2 linked regions of the Arabidopsis thaliana genome follow. The protein of the gene in region 2 interacts with the protein of the main gene of each other region in a pairwise test. Each region holds a gene or a part of one and is shown on either strand. Other genes may lie near its edges. The genes, in order: HDG1 and AT2G41760.

The links.
Region 1: the proteins of AT2G41760 (region 2) and HDG1 interact in a two-hybrid assay, tested with the Arabidopsis thaliana proteins (one large-scale study listed by BioGRID).

What each region holds. Positions count from the first base shown.
Region 1 is NC_003074.8:22,628,410-22,637,355, reverse strand, and holds HDG1 (homeodomain GLABROUS 1), read right to left. Parts: upstream 7,026-8,946; 5' UTR 6,588-7,025; coding exon 6,417-6,587; intron 6,339-6,416; coding exon 6,130-6,338; intron 6,047-6,129; coding exon 5,929-6,046; intron 5,859-5,928; coding exon 5,172-5,858; intron 5,078-5,171; coding exon 4,979-5,077; intron 4,888-4,978; coding exon 4,687-4,887; intron 4,285-4,686; coding exon 4,107-4,284; intron 3,883-4,106; coding exon 3,515-3,882; intron 2,877-3,514; coding exon 2,481-2,876; 3' UTR 2,201-2,480; downstream 1-2,200. Other genes in the region: AT3G61160 (Protein kinase superfamily protein), read right to left, coding at 1-35, 120-392, 475-534, 635-727, 820-978, 1,085-1,147; FUS6 (COP9 signalosome complex subunit 1), read right to left, coding at 8,461-8,637, 8,729-8,946. UniProt on the Arabidopsis thaliana protein: Probable transcription factor. Promotes cuticle development probably by modulating the expression of the downstream genes BDG and FDH, possibly repressed in a CFL1-dependent manner.
Region 2 is NC_003071.7:17,419,591-17,426,072, reverse strand, and holds AT2G41760 (amino-terminal glutamine amidohydrolase), read right to left. Parts: upstream 4,385-6,482; 5' UTR 4,328-4,384; coding exon of another isoform or gene 3,533-4,327; 5' UTR 3,210-3,532; coding exon 3,142-3,209; intron 2,958-3,141; coding exon 2,852-2,957; intron 2,714-2,851; coding exon 2,636-2,713; intron 2,551-2,635; coding exon 2,420-2,550; intron 2,173-2,419; coding exon 2,048-2,172; intron 1,976-2,047; coding exon 1,818-1,975; 3' UTR 1,702-1,817; downstream 1-1,701. Other genes in the region: AT2G41770 (transmembrane protein, putative (DUF288)), read left to right, coding at 1-742, 823-949, 1,048-1,524; AT2G41750 (DTW domain-containing protein), read left to right, coding at 3,533-4,327. UniProt on the Arabidopsis thaliana protein: Mediates the side-chain deamidation of N-terminal glutamine residues to glutamate, an important step in N-end rule pathway of protein degradation.

The sequences.
Region 1 (8,946 bases), on a different chromosome or scaffold from region 2:
ACCACTTGATGCAGATAATTCATAGCACGGCAAATCTGGTTTCAACAAACAAATGTTTCTCAGAACCCCAAAAGTCAAAAATAGAGCTGAATGCAGAAAAGAGTACACGGTCTTAATACCTGATAGGTGTAGAGCTGAATATAAATCAAAGGCATATGCTGATTCATCTTGGTGTAAGATCTGGAAGCGCGGTAAATAGTCTCGGGTACATACTCAAGAACAAGGTTAAGATAAAGCTCGTCTTTCTCAGTCGTGGAAAAGAAAGAATGCTTGAGCTCAACGACATTAGGATGATCAAGCATTCGCATGATCTGAAGTTCTCTGTTTTTGTATCTCTTGTCCTGTAACACTTTCTTTATTGCTACTTTTTCTTCCGTCTCTAAGCACTTAGCCTACATCAAAACCAGGAATCAACTTCAAAATCAAATTTTTAAAACAACTAAATAAAATATCTCGAGTCTAAATTTTATTTACCTGAAAGACAACACCGAATGAGCCAGTGCCAATTACATGTTCAGCTCTGTAAGAGATTGTCTGCATAATAACAAACAATATATAAAAAAACAGATTTTCATGGAGAACAATTTTAGAAATGTGTCATTACAAAGAACACAAGCCAAAACTGAAAAGTCACCTTGTCTTTTTGATCATTCAAACCCTTCTTTTTGGTGGTAATAATCCGTCCAGATTCTGTTCCATTTCCCTTGATGATTCCACAGTCCATATCCTATCAAATCCATTTGAACCATTAGCTCAAAGATCAGAGAAACAAAGCAAATCAGAAACTCAAAAGGCTAAAAAAATCTCAAAAATGGAAACCTTGTCATCTCCAAGTCCCACCTCACGGATTTCCTTTGGTAAATGATCAGAGTTCTCTGAGGAAGAGACAGAATCTTTCTCGTACGACGTAGTTTCCGTAGACTCTGTTTCTTCACGATTCTGGTTAGGCTTTGATCTCGGCGTCTCAGTTTCTCCTACCTACGCAAGTTACAAAAACAAAAGAGTCCAACTTTAAACAATCCCCAAATCAAGAAAATAAATACAAACAAACAAAAAAAACTCAAAAAGTTTCAATATTCTTTACGTTATCAGAAGAAACGAAATTACGTCCAGAGGCAATACTCGTTAATCTCCGCACCACATTCATCGTTTTTTTCTTCTTAAAAAAGCAGAAAACAATTCCAAGGAAACAGAGGAATTAACAAAAAAAAAAGTGGTTTCAAGAACACCAAAAGATTACACGAGAAGAGAAAGAGAGAAAGAGAGAGAATCGCTTAGCTGCCAATTCGTCTCTCCTTCTTCTCTCTTCTACCAGAAAAACGAAACAAAGATAACAAAAAAAAAATGATCTAAGGATTTTTCTTCCTTAATCAAAACTCTCTGTGTATATATACAAAAACATATTTATAGAAATATCTATATATATCTCTGCGGCGGAGCGGATATAGCTTAAACTAAAAAAGAACAGATGGCATTTCTCGCCATTGGTCTATTACACAATTCCAAGACCAATCAATCATTCTCATACCCTTAATTTCTGTTCAGAGATCATCACCCCACAAGAAAAAAATGGAATTAAATAATCTGTATTAGATACGATCGTGACCGTTTGTTCATTCAACGGTGGCGATCGAACGTTAAGCGCGCGGATTATTCGGAAGTTTGACTCTTCCTTTTGACTCTTTTCTTTCGGCCCGTTTGTAATAATAATATTATTGTCGTTTGTAATAATAGTATATACTCCAATGGACTTAAAATCTAGCCCAATAAATTAGTTAATGATTGGCCCAATACACTTTGAGAAGACTTACTTGGTAGCCATAATAGAGTAGTTAATGACAGGCTTTAGATAAAAGCCCATTAGTAGCCTGTGGTCTCTTCTGATGTGACCTTTGGATCTAGGCTAGCATTATCAAACAATCTCTAAACCAACCTAATCAATTAGCCTTTCGTTGTAGTTGTCTACATTGCATGGATATAATAACTATAAGGGATTGCAACTAAATTCATGCACTCACGTGTTTCACTCTTCTTCGTTCGTTCCTTTTCCATCTTATTGAGAAAAGTACTGTAAACTTGGAACAACATTAAATAAAGGACACGGTCCAAACCAATCCTTTCACATTATAAACTACCACAAAAGTAAACACGGATTGTGCTTCTGGTTGCCTTGATTTATAACCAAAAAAATGATAATACGTTTTTGCTTATAACTAATTATTTGAGCTCCCCTAAAAAAAACTTGTGTGTTTCATATAATGCTGTCCCGATATTATCGAGTCATTACAAGAAGAGAAACAAGAAACAATTACATTTCATCGACATGATCCAAAATAAAACCGATCCAAATTACAACATTCTTTGTTTTTTTTTTTTTTTTAAATTTCATCGAGTCAATACCCGAACCATCACAAAAACGGATTCATCACAAAATGAGGTTCGTTCTTGACTCAATCTCCTCCATCGTCTGATCTCGATGATCAGGTGCTATCACAATGAAGAGCAGCTTTAATCTTCTGAACGGTGCACGATATCAAATTATTAACCGTCTCCACAGATTCCACCGTTAGCTTAGCCGTAGGCAAACTATTCACCAGTATCTGAAACGCCACCGTTAGTAACGACCCTCCTTCCTCCATGCACCCACCGTTACCAATACTGTTACGTTCCTCTGCGGCGCAGCGTTGCGTACCAGCCTGACCGTTAGGGAGAATGGCGAATCCTGAAGGAAGGAGTGCCACGTAAGCAGAATCTCCACCGTTCATCACAGCTTGCATTGCTGGGATATCAACAGGCGCGTACACGACAACCGCTCCTGCAGCGTCTATGCTTGTCTCTTGTAATATCAGCATACTACTCTGATTCGCATTTATCGCCTGCATGAAAAAATCAAAACAAAATTAAATAAATGGAAACTTTGGTGGTAGAAGAGAAAATTATAAATCCCAAAAGGGGAAACAATAAATTAAAAGATGATGAACGAGGAGACTTTTACAGTGTCACCGTCACAAGCCAGAAAAAGCTCAAGGGGTACAACGGAGAAAAGACACCAATAATGCAGAAATAAAGAGAGAAAAAAACAGAGGATTTTTCAAAACGTCGGAGCCAAAAAGGAAAGAAAAAGGTCAAAAATGTCTTATTACTATTGACTTTTATCACACAATACTTCCAAATTCTAGATTTGTCACTTTCCAATCACACGCGACAAGATTCATATGACAACACCATCCTGGGGTCACACAACACAACAAAGTCCTTTCATACACTGTTTATAGATCAAATATTCAATGTCCACACAAGTCGGTTTAACTTTAATTTATCTAAAACCAACCCAAAAAAATCAGAAAAAGTTGAAAACCGTAAACAAAAAACTAAACCGACTAAAATTTCAAGTTTTCCAAAACCATCTAATGTTTATAAAATACTAAATTCACCAAAACCTAAACTAAAATTTGGAGATTAGCTTAGCTACTTACGCATGCAAATAGAAAGTGTAATAAATATGAATGCTTACGCTGGCACGGAGGAGGGAGACGGAGTTGGAACGGTCATGGCCTTTAGCTATATGGGCCATCTCTTTCATTGGTCCACCGTTGGATAAGATATCCCATTCCGATCTAAGCCGTTCGTTTCCAAGGAAGTCAAACAACCGCCTCGGAGATACCGGCATCCAAACTGACGTCGCCGCATTTAGAATTATCCCAGGCGGCTCGCCAGGATTGTTTACACTCTTCCTAGTCATTATCCTAACGTCTTCGTCGACGTTGCCAACGTTGAGTTTGCTCCATTTCTGTAACGACGAAGCACAAACCCCTCCACAGAAATTATCAGTCATCCTCTTCGCTAGCTTTAGCATGCTTTTTCTCCCATTGCAGTTTATAGCTGTGCCCATTAATATAACCAAAAAAAGATTAATTAAACTATATAGTTTGATAATTACAGAATCAACAGCTATCATCTTTTTCTTTGTGACTCAGTCAACAGTTCATACTATTTATTAAATCTTATTTATTCTGGTAGGATAAGATATGAATCACGTCAACAACAACAAACAAATATATATTTCTACAAAATAAATCAGAAACGCAGCGTTTGAGGGAGCTTACGGGATGGATTAGTGGAAGTGGAAACAGTGGAGGACATGAGAATCGTGAGGCATTCGCATTGACGTTGTAATGCAGCCATCCATCGATGCGCACCAAACGCTAGACCGCACCTGAGTAATGGGCGGTATAAACGGTGGATGTGGTTTTCGTCATACTCCGTGTGCTCGATCCATGTTACCTGCAAATTTCTTAAACTATTTTGCGTTAGGTTTATCACAATCGTTTTTTTAGGTCTAATGTCAGCTTTAACACATAATTAATGATAATCAAAGAGAAAAACTTCTATGAACGTGTAATGATAAAAATTAATGCACGATCCAAGGGCACAGAACTCGGAGATATTTAGATGCTTCTGATCAATAAAATAATCCTACTCCAATGCATAAGTTAATTTAAAGTTATAAACCCAATGCATAAGAAACCTTTATCATAATTTCTCGGACAAAAACAAAGAGCTTGCCTGTGGTTCCTAGAGAAATGTGAACCAACCAACACTAGGGTAACTCCTAAAGGTGAAAAGTTAAAACTATACAGTATACTACTATTACAAATAATCATCACCCAGAAAGAATAATTTTACCTTTGAGTAGCCATTGGCCATGTCTTGTACGAGGCAACCGGATGGTAATCTTCTACAGCTCGAAGAAGAACCTTCTCTAATGGAATCAATTGAGACATCCACGACTGCCCAAACACCTTCCGCGTGCTGTTTACAGAACCGCAAGAACGACACTTGTCTAACCGGCACGAGTGGAGACAGCAGTTGAAGCTCTGCGTGCATCTAATTAACCAAAAACAAAACATTAAAAGACCCATTTGTTGAATTAAGATTTTATATGTGTTAATTAAATGTTAAACGCATAATTACATACCAGGTGAAGTGCACCATTTCGCCCTCCCATGCCACTAGAGATAATCTCTGTGGTTGAAGTTCTTGAGACCATACTAGGAAACATTTCCGCCCACCGTTCCTATAAAAAACATTGTATCAAAAGATTAGTACTTTCTAGAACTTTTGCTGGATTAAGCTCATTACTAAAATTAAGTGTTTTAGTAACTACTCACCGAGTCCATTAAGGTTTCAACGAGCGCTAAGCTATTGATGATAACAGTTCCAGCTTCTTTAGAAGCTTCTGAGACAAACCCATCTTGTTTTGGTCCAACACACCGAGAGAAACTTGTGTCGTACTCTTCCTGGTTCAGCACTTCAAAACCAGAATCCGAGCTTCGAACCCAGAGCGGCTCACGTGTCTGAGCCATCTTCACAAGCTCATCCATAGCCGCAAGAGCTAAATCCAAATACCTCGATCTCTGATCAAAATCACTAACACTAACCGGTTGTTGACGGTTAACCGTAGCCACCAAACCAGAACCGGTTCCATTAGAAATCTCAAATCTAGGAGAAGCTTGAGGCAACAGCGGAGAAGAGAGAGTGAAACCACCACCAACATTACATCCACCAGAACCAACACCAACGCCGAGAACAAGTGCTGAGTCCGGTATATGATGTGAACCATTAGACCGGCCAAGAAACTTACCGGTTAAGGCACAGACTCGGTCTAACTCATCTTTGAGACGAGAGTTTTCAATTCTCAGATGTTGCTCTTCCATTGAGATCTCACCGATAACGGCAGGTCCGCCGCAATTACCACACATAGGGTTTCTCATAGCTTCGCGTACAGACATATTCTCAGCTCGAAGCTTATCGTTCTCTTGCCTCAACAAAGCATTCTCATGTCGTTCGATTTGAGTCTGTAAAAACAAATCAAAAATCAAAACAAAGAAACCAGAAAACAAAGATTAGCGATTCGAAGCTAAAAACCTTCATCTGAGTACGACGATTCTGGAACCAGAACTTGACTTGACGAGGATCTAAGTTAAGTCGACGGCTAAGATCAAGACGTTGCTTCTCGTCTGGATGTGCACACTCTTTAAAAACCCTAAAAATGGAGGATTCATCAAAATCAAAAATCAAAACGATTCGTAGAAGTGTAAATGGAGATTTTGTGTATAGTGAGTTTACGATTCGAGGTCTTGAATTTGTTTAGGAGTGTGACGATGGTAACGTTTCTTCTTCTTTAAAGGTCTATCGGAGGTATCTAAATCGTCACCGGAGACAGCTTCAGCGTTATCACTTTCAGATCTGCTTTCTACATCTTCTCCTCTACTACTCTTACGACTTACGTTTGACTCCATAATCTCTCCGTTTCTACTCATTTCTCCATTTGTTTGCTGCCAAATTTACAGAGATTATCATAAGTAGTAGAAGAAGAAGAAATCGAAGATTAAAAGAGGAGATAGTGAGCTTACGAGTCCGAGAGAGAGGCCTGAAGAAGAGAAAGGAAGAGACTGAGAAGGAGCAATGGCGGCGCTTCCGAGCATGGTGTCTACGGCGGAGAAAGAGAAGTGGTTGTTGTACGGAGCATCAGAGAGTAGCTTTGAGGCTCCAGCACCGTCGTCGAGAAAACCGTTGAAATTCATGAGATTTTAATAAAGAGGGAAATATTTAATGAAGATAGAAGAAATCCGCCATGGATGAGAGAAAAGCCCTAAGCTTTGTCGCTTCGGTGCATGTCCATGAATAGAAGATAGAGATAGAGATAGAGAGAGAGAGAGAACAGTAAATGAAAAAGGTAAAGGACGATAGTAACGACGAAAAAGGAAGATATAAAAGGTTCTCTGATTTGTTTCGTGAAATTAATTTACTTCAAAAGAAAAAATAAAAGAGAGAGAAGAGAAAAGGATAAAAAGGGAAAAGAAGAAGATGTGGAGTCATGGAAAGCCTTACACAACCTTTGAAAAGTTGGGTTTGACTCTTTTGACGTTACTCAACTCTTTTTGCTATAAAAGTCCACTTCAAGTGGTGAATCAACGCTGTCTTTCTTTTAAAATTACTGTTCTACCCCCTTCTTCTTGTGCTACTTTTTATTTGTAAATCCCAATTTCATCATGGGATGTGAGATTCTTCGTTTGTTGAGCGTTTCATTTGTCAATTCATTTGTTGAGCGTTTCATTTGTTAATTCATGTATTTCGGACATGTTTATTCACGATGACTATTGTTTTTGCATCGTGAATCGTACCTAAAGAGTTATGTTTTATTTTCCATAGCGAACAAGAAGTTGTTTATATTTGTATTACTCACAGTTTAGAAAGATGGTTATTAGTCTCCAAAAATAACTAATGCAAAGATCACAAATAATGAGATCCGGTTTTTGATACACAACCTATCAATTATACAAATTACTTTCATCAATGCAACCCAAAATAAATGGAGTATTGGGGTGAGTAAATTTAGAGTTGGCCCATCTTCCAAATTTGGCGGATTCTTAACTTCATGGTTTGTGAGTTTTGAGTAAACATGGAGTTATTGCGATGCTACCTAAGACTCATTTAAAAGGCAATATCATTCAATAGTTGATTAATAATGGACTGTCCATCTTAGAATAAAACCTTTACTTACTCTAAATGTCATCGACTCATTGAAACACTTGGTTCTTACAAAAAAGTAATCTTGCCCAATTTCTCGTTTGGTTCGAATCTTGAAAAAACACCCTTGAATATTCCTGGCAAACACAAACATATAGAAATATATATATATAAGATACCTCAAACTACAAAGAGAACAACTTCAAAGAAATGCATAGAAAAGAACTACTTGCAATAGTAAAAATAATAGTACCAGATAATGTGAACTATCCCATTCAGTGATAAAAATTCTATAGAAGAAACTAATAATGATGAAACGTAGCTATCGAGTGATTAATATCAAAAGTTCTTTGACACAAGAAAATCAAAAGTTCACACTTAGTCTACATGATGCGTTTGCCGACATCAAATCTTGGTTTTGCAATTTTCGAGATTCTACTTATAAAAAAAAGACCTAACCGTTTTGATTATTATTTCTTGTAGATAAGAAAAAAAAAAGTCTTCAACTATAGAGTGACAACTGTGCACAAAGCCACAAACTATCATATAATATACGACGTTTAGTTGACAAAATGAAATGGATATTAGTTGGGAGATGAGATTTTTGATCCCACCACCCACATGCATACAAAGATCATAAATCATATCGGCCCATGAAACCAAGTGTGTGTACTTATGTCTGTACTCTTTGACCATTTCACTTTCAGTGTGATTCATGCGTCTATAGATTCACACTCGGGATTTCATTCAAAGTCCATAGATAATTCAAAGAATCTTAAACTAAAAGTTGACAAAACAAAGCGATAACTAGAGAACAGAGAAGGTCAGATAGAAAGCTAACCAGTAACTAAACCAAATTAAATTTTAACAGATATCTTATGATCTTGGAATAGGCCATTACCTCTCAGTTTAGCAAAGCAGATGTCATCAAAGTTTCCTTGCCGATCTGGCATGATACTCATGTTTCAGGAGGTTGGCTCTTAACAGCATCGCCCTGACATCTCTATCGAATTCGTTTCCCATCTGAAGTACCTTTTGGAAAGTTGCATTCCTCTGATCCGCGTGTCTTGCATAGAGGATTTTGTTGTGTGAATCAATCCTTGCCTGTCCGGGATGGAAAAAAGATTTTGCCTCTATTAAGGTTTTTAAAATGACAGTAACATAAAACAAAGTTATTTCGGGAAACACTACGGACCTGAATCTGGTTGTCTGTGATCAAGGCTTCAAGTTCTTTCTCTAGACCAGAGACGCTAGTCTTGAATGCATCGGCCATCCTGCTCAAATCAACAGAGACAAATGGCAATGTGTACTGGATCAGTGCCTTCTTCCTTATCTGATCATATAGTGTGTCAACGTGATCATGAAGATGGATGTCCAGCAGCAGATTCGATTTGAGACTTGCAAGATATTCCA
Region 2 (6,482 bases):
CTTTACCTCAAGGTGTGATGGTGCCGGTTAATTCGTTTAACACTCTTTACCATTCGTCAGCCTTTTGGGGGTTAATGCTTCCTGTTTCGGTTAGTTCCATGGCTTCTGATGTGCTGAGAGGTTACTGGGGACAAAGGCTTTTGTGGGAGCTTGGTGGTTATGTTGCTGTTTATCCACCTACAGCTCACCGGTTTGATAGAATCGAGGCTTACCCTTTTGTAGAGGAGAAGGATCTTCATGTTAATGTTGGTCGTTTGATCAAGTTCTTACTTGCTTGGAGATCAGAGAAGCATAGTTTCTTTGAGACGGTCCTTGATTTGAGCTTTGCTATGGCTGAAGAAGGGTTTTGGACAGAACAGGATTTGAAATTCACAGCTGCTTGGCTTCAGGATTTGATTGCTGTTGGGTACCAACAACCGAGATTGATGTCGCTGGAATTGGATCGCCCGCGAGCAAGTATCGGTCATGGAGATAGAAAAGAGTTTGTTCCAAGGAAGTTACCTTCGGTTCATCTCGGGGTTGAGGAGACTGGCACAGTGAGCACTGAAATAGGGAACTTGATTAGGTGGAGGAAGAATTTTGGGAATGTTGTGCTGGTTATGTTTTGTAACGGTCCCGTTGAACGTACCGCACTCGAGTGGAGGTTACTTTATGGCCGGATATTCAAAACTGTTGTGATACTTTCTTCTCAGAAGAACTCAGATCTCTATGTAGAAGAAGCCAAACTCGATCACATTTACAAGTATGAATATTCTCAAGATTACTATGTATATGTTGTTTAAAGTTCATGCTTCTAACGGTAAGTTTGTATGTATATTTCAGGCATCTACCAAAGATATTTGATCGATACAGCAGCGCAGAAGGATTTTTGTTTGTTGAAGATGATACAGTTCTCAATTACTGGAATCTACTTCAAGCTGACAAATCTAAGATTTGGACTACAGACAAGGTACAACATTTTCATCAATATTTTCAGCTTCTCTTTGTTCTACTATCTTGATATGTGTATCTGACAAGGAAACGTCTTGTTGTAAACTGGTGATTTAGGTATCAAAGTCTTGGACATCAGTGAAACCGACCGGGAACTCTGATTGGTTTTCTGTACAAGCAGAGTTAGTGAAGAAAACTGTAAGTACAATGCCAGCTCATTTCCAAGTTAACTACAAGGACGCCACCAAGAACAATCATGAGACCTTAACAGTATGCAGTTCAGAGGTATTCTATGTGCCTAAAAGACTGGTAACTGACTTTATCGATCTTGTTGATCTCGTGGGCGATATGGACTTGCATTACAAAGTGGCTGTGCCAATGTTCTTCTTGTCTATGGATTCGCCTCAGAATTTTGACCCGGTTCTCGGTTCAATGGTATATAAGAGGAAATCAGCTTCGTTTAACACTTCTTCGAGTCTGTATTCTGCTAAAGCACCTGCGGTTCACCCGTGGAGCATATCAAGCGAACAAGATTTCATCAAATTGGTTCAGCAAATGGCTGAGGGCGACCCGCTTCTGATGGAGTTGGTATGATGGACTCAGGGTATAGAGCTTGCAGTAATGCAATGATAGAAACAGAGTTATACAAAAATTGTGTTTTTGATTCTTTTCTTATTGGTTCCCTTTTCAGAATTTTTTTCTTCTGGGGGTTGTGAAGAAAGTCATGTAATGTTCCATTGTAACCATACGTTTTGTGAGTGTATGATATTTCCCCATCTAAAATCAGTCTCTGCTTCATCAATAAAGACAAAAAGACAACTGAAAACATGCCTGAATATACAAGTAATGACACAGTTTTGATCCCATAAGAAAAAGACATTGGAATGCTAAGGAAGCTTGGTGAAGAGATCCTGAAGCTGAGTGTGGCTCACCACAACACCAAGTTTCTGTGAAATTGCTGCTGTCACTGTTTCGGGATCCAAGCTTGACAATGTATCCGCACCGCTCATGGCAATGTACTCGCTCAAATTGTGCAAGATTCCATCTTCAGAAGTAAGACAAAAGCGAGCTGAGCAGATGAATATTGTTGATGAAAGGGTAAAAAGTAACATCTTACCTTGGGCAACAATGGGTTCATAGGGTGGAGGTTGAGCAGTCCAACTTCCATCAGGTTCTTTCATGTGTCTTCTATCGGAAGCGAAATGCTTAAAGAACAGAGGAGCATGAACAATGCGGAAGAACCTGATCTCAACAAAACAAAAAGAAAAAACCAACTACATTACAATTACATGATGCTGAATTTCCTATCCAAATCTATATTGCTCCTTATGCCTTTCATAAACTGTTTTGCGGATAAATATACGGTTCAGGAACACAAGAAGATAAAGAAGCCTATATAGTTTCTCGGTGATAGAAAAGTAAAGGCTACTGCTTTGGCACCCTGATATCTATTACTTGGTGGTACAGTGATGTGAAAGTTATAGATTACCTCTGGTACTCTGCGAAAAGCTGAAAAGATGGCTGGATAGTTTCAGTCACATATGAGGCTAAGGGTGAAGGGAAAGGCAAAGTCGAATCAAGATCCCACACCAAAGGCTCAGAATCACTTTCTTTCTTCCTCTAATCAATATTCATGCGAATACAAAACAAAAACCAAGTTTAATTCTAAAAACTGACATCACTGGTTTGGACATTATAGGTTTACCTGGACACAGATGACATGATAATCCCACAGTACAACCCCATCAGCTCTGGTACTAGCTTTCTGATGCCAAAGTGGAACCTACAAGAAAATCAAATCAGTACAATGGACATTGAAATATACACACTCTGATTACCAAACGACTTCGTAACGGTGATGTAATTCCAACATGAAACAAGACCAAAGATAAGAATTATTAATAAAGAGCAACAAGCTTGCCTGCTTCTTCTCATTGGAGATAAAAACAACAAACAAATCAGAACACGTTGCCTCCGCTACACCATTCTCGCACAACGTCTTGCAGAGCAGATACACATTCTCTTCGCTACAAGAAAAAGTCAACATCTTTATCTTAAGTACTCCTACCCATAAGTCAAAATAATCAACTACAACCCTCTAAAACGAGTAATCTGGATTCGGAAGTTACATAGAACATGTAGAAGAGACCGTTCTATAATTTGAAGAAACCTAAATCGATGAGAAATTTTGTTTTAAAAGAAGAAGAATACCAGTAGTAAGGAGTGTGCTGGAACCGAGTGGCATCCATAGCAATAGGCTCCGAGGTGACGCCGGACATTCTCTCTTAGGATTTGATCAGTACTCTTATCTAATTTTCCTACTTCCAGCAACGTTGATCATCTAATCGTCAAAACTAAAAAGTGGTCGTGTACAATTGGGTAAATGGTGACCGGAGAAGAGACAGAGAGTTAAATAAGTTAATGCCCAACGACGATGTATCGTGAACAGACCAAACGACGACGTAGTGAATACAATCGTAATCGTATTCGTATTCGTGAATGGGTCAAACGCCGTCGTTCAGAAACTTAGTTTAAACGATGCCGTGTTTCTAATAGACCAAAAACGACAGCGTATTATTTTATTTTTTCTAATTTCCCATTAATGTTGGAATGCTCGCGTGACAGAGCAGTGACGATGGAGGACGAGCAAGACGCGCATCATCGCCGGCAGATCTGCGACAACTGCGATCGCCCAAATGCGATTTGTCTCTGCCACGTCTTACCAGCGGATCTAATTCCGACGAATACAGAAATCATCATCCTCCACCATCCACACGAGTCACGCCACAAGCTCAACACCACTCCTCTCCTTACCAAATCCTTACTAAACGTCACCAGAATCCCCGCCCGCCGTCTCCTCCGCCGTCACATCTCCACCGCCGGAGGAACCGCACTCCCAGCACCGCCAACAATCTACCTCTTCCCTTCTTCTCCTTCCTCTCCCGCCGTCACTATATCCGAATTCAAATCCCTAAACCTCTTAAACCATCGTGAGATCTCAAATCCCCCGCCGCTGAGACTAATCGTATTCGACGCGACGTGGAAACACGCGAAGGAGATGGTCAAAGCTAGCGAGGTGGTGTTAAGAGAAGCAGGAGCGGTTAGAGTGTGTTTGGATACGGAAATAGACGCATCAGTGAGTGGAGGAACCATCTACGATTCAGAGCTTGTGCTAAGGAAGGAACCATTCGGAGGATGTGTAACTACGGCGGAGGCTGTGGCACGGTGCTTAGGAGCTATTGAACCTGACGGTGAAGAAATAGAGAGGAAGCTGATTAGTGTTTTGAAAGAGATGGTTAGATTTCAATCTAAGTACTTGAAGCCTATGAAACCAAGACCTAAGTTATTGAAGAAGAGATTTCAGAATCAGCAACCACTTGAACAAGAAGAAGAATGAGTTAAATCCTGAAGTTTAGCAAAAAAAAATTGCTCTATGACATTAGTCCATTGTATTAATTTGTTCTTCTATATCAATAATTAGTTAATTTACAAAATATCAAATAATTCTGTGATTTCTCAAATTTATTCACGTTTTCTTGCGAATTTGGAGTAGACAAATCAATCAATATATTTGTGTGTGTGGAACAGATAGATTATGATGAACTTTATGAACTAGAAAAGAAGAAATAATGGGACATGGGACCTTGTTCCACGTGAAGTGAGAAATAGAGGTGAGGGGGTCGTGGATTGTTTTGCGATCATATAACTAACTTTCGAGATTTATAAATGAAGGTGACACTTTTTTTAAAAAACTAGACACTCACTGAATCACATGATATGTTTTTAGGCCTTTTAGTACCGATGTTATAATATATAGATGCCTAATTCCTAAAGCACACAAGTTCAATCATTAAAACCGTTTCCTGTAAATTCATATTCCTTTTTACGGTCCATATTCGAATTGGAGATCAAAATAAGTCTGACTTACTATTTTGAATGAAGAAATGTATTGTTGGTTGCTAATCGATATCGTTGGTCGTTGTCCGAATAACTTCAAAACAAACATGATCTATGCTACGTAATACGTACGGCACAAATACTAATTTCAGAATTAGATAAATTCTGAATTGAAAGCTCGAAACTTGTTAGTCAAGAAAAAAGAGATGAAACTGCTAAGTTACGATTTCAACTTTAATTTGTTTAGGTTGAATCTTACTTAATTACATTAGTTTTGGCCCTGCTCAAAGAATAAACCGAGCCTGTTCATTCTATGCAATCGGAAATATCTGATCGAAACTCCTATCATCTCTTTATAGAGTTTACTTAAAAAATATATATATTTTTGATACCGATTATATATATATCAACCATACATAGTATATTTCTCGAAATTTTAAAACATATAATTTCTTTCATTTCATTCGGTGTGGACATTGCACTCTCTTTATTCATTTTTACGTTTTCCTTAATTTACGATGGAGTGACCTTCAATTATAATTTTTATTCATTTCTTGATGGTATAGTACAAGTTAATAACTTTTATCTGTTTTCGATATTTATTGTTTGTTTACGTGAAGTTGACCTGGCAACACACAAAATAAAACAATGATCGATTTATCAAGTATAGCAACTTTGTTTTGAACACCTTAAAAAAACATTCACTGATATATTGTGAAATAGGCTACGGGAGAGGGATTTGGATCCTAGTTAAGTGCATGGTAGTCGAAAGTCTGTTATGTACCATCGGTCATATAGAAGCTACACTTTGTACCCTTTTTTTTTGGGAGGTTTCAAGTCAAGTGTATCATATGCGAATGAGACTATCAAAAAGGAGAGATATAAATGGAAAACGGTACGGTGAACTTTTAAATGCATAATTATATTAGTCAAGTAGAGAAGTTTGTAAGAGTTTGAACAAACTCTAGTTGGCAAAGCATTGATGGAATGATGGTAGCTGATTCTGAAATTTCTTCTTCTATGTATTTACGAATACGATTATATACATGACATAACTTTTTTTTTTCCTTCTTTTTTTTTGAGTTGAAAACGAGAGTAGAGAAAAAAGGAGTATTATCCATCCATGACATCTGCCAAAAGCCTAAAAGTAGAAAAGAAGGCTGTTCTCTATTTATCTGGTTATTGTATTTCATTCATGATTGTTGTTTTTCATGTTAAAGAGTATATTATTACGAAGAAATACTATAGTGTATTCTTTTAATATACGAAAAGTGCATATCCTTCAAAAAGGAGTTGAATCGTGCAAATTCACATGCTAAAAAGGACATCGTGTCATGCTGAAATAGCGAATGATGAGACCAATCTCTCCAAATCAAATAATTTATTCCGAAATACTTTTCTTTTTTACAACATTCTATATGATATTAACTATGTATAATGAATTTGGATAGTTTTTTTTAATTTGTGTTAAAAGATCTTATACGGTCTATTCTACACCTACATAGGTTATATCCAAATCAAGTATGATTTCACCTATCTTTTCTTGCAAATATTTGCATCATTTTTTTGTTAATGTTTATATATAACTAGGTCTAGGTTGGTAGCTATTTATGGTACAACAAATCCAATAAATGTATGTAAGTATATATATATAT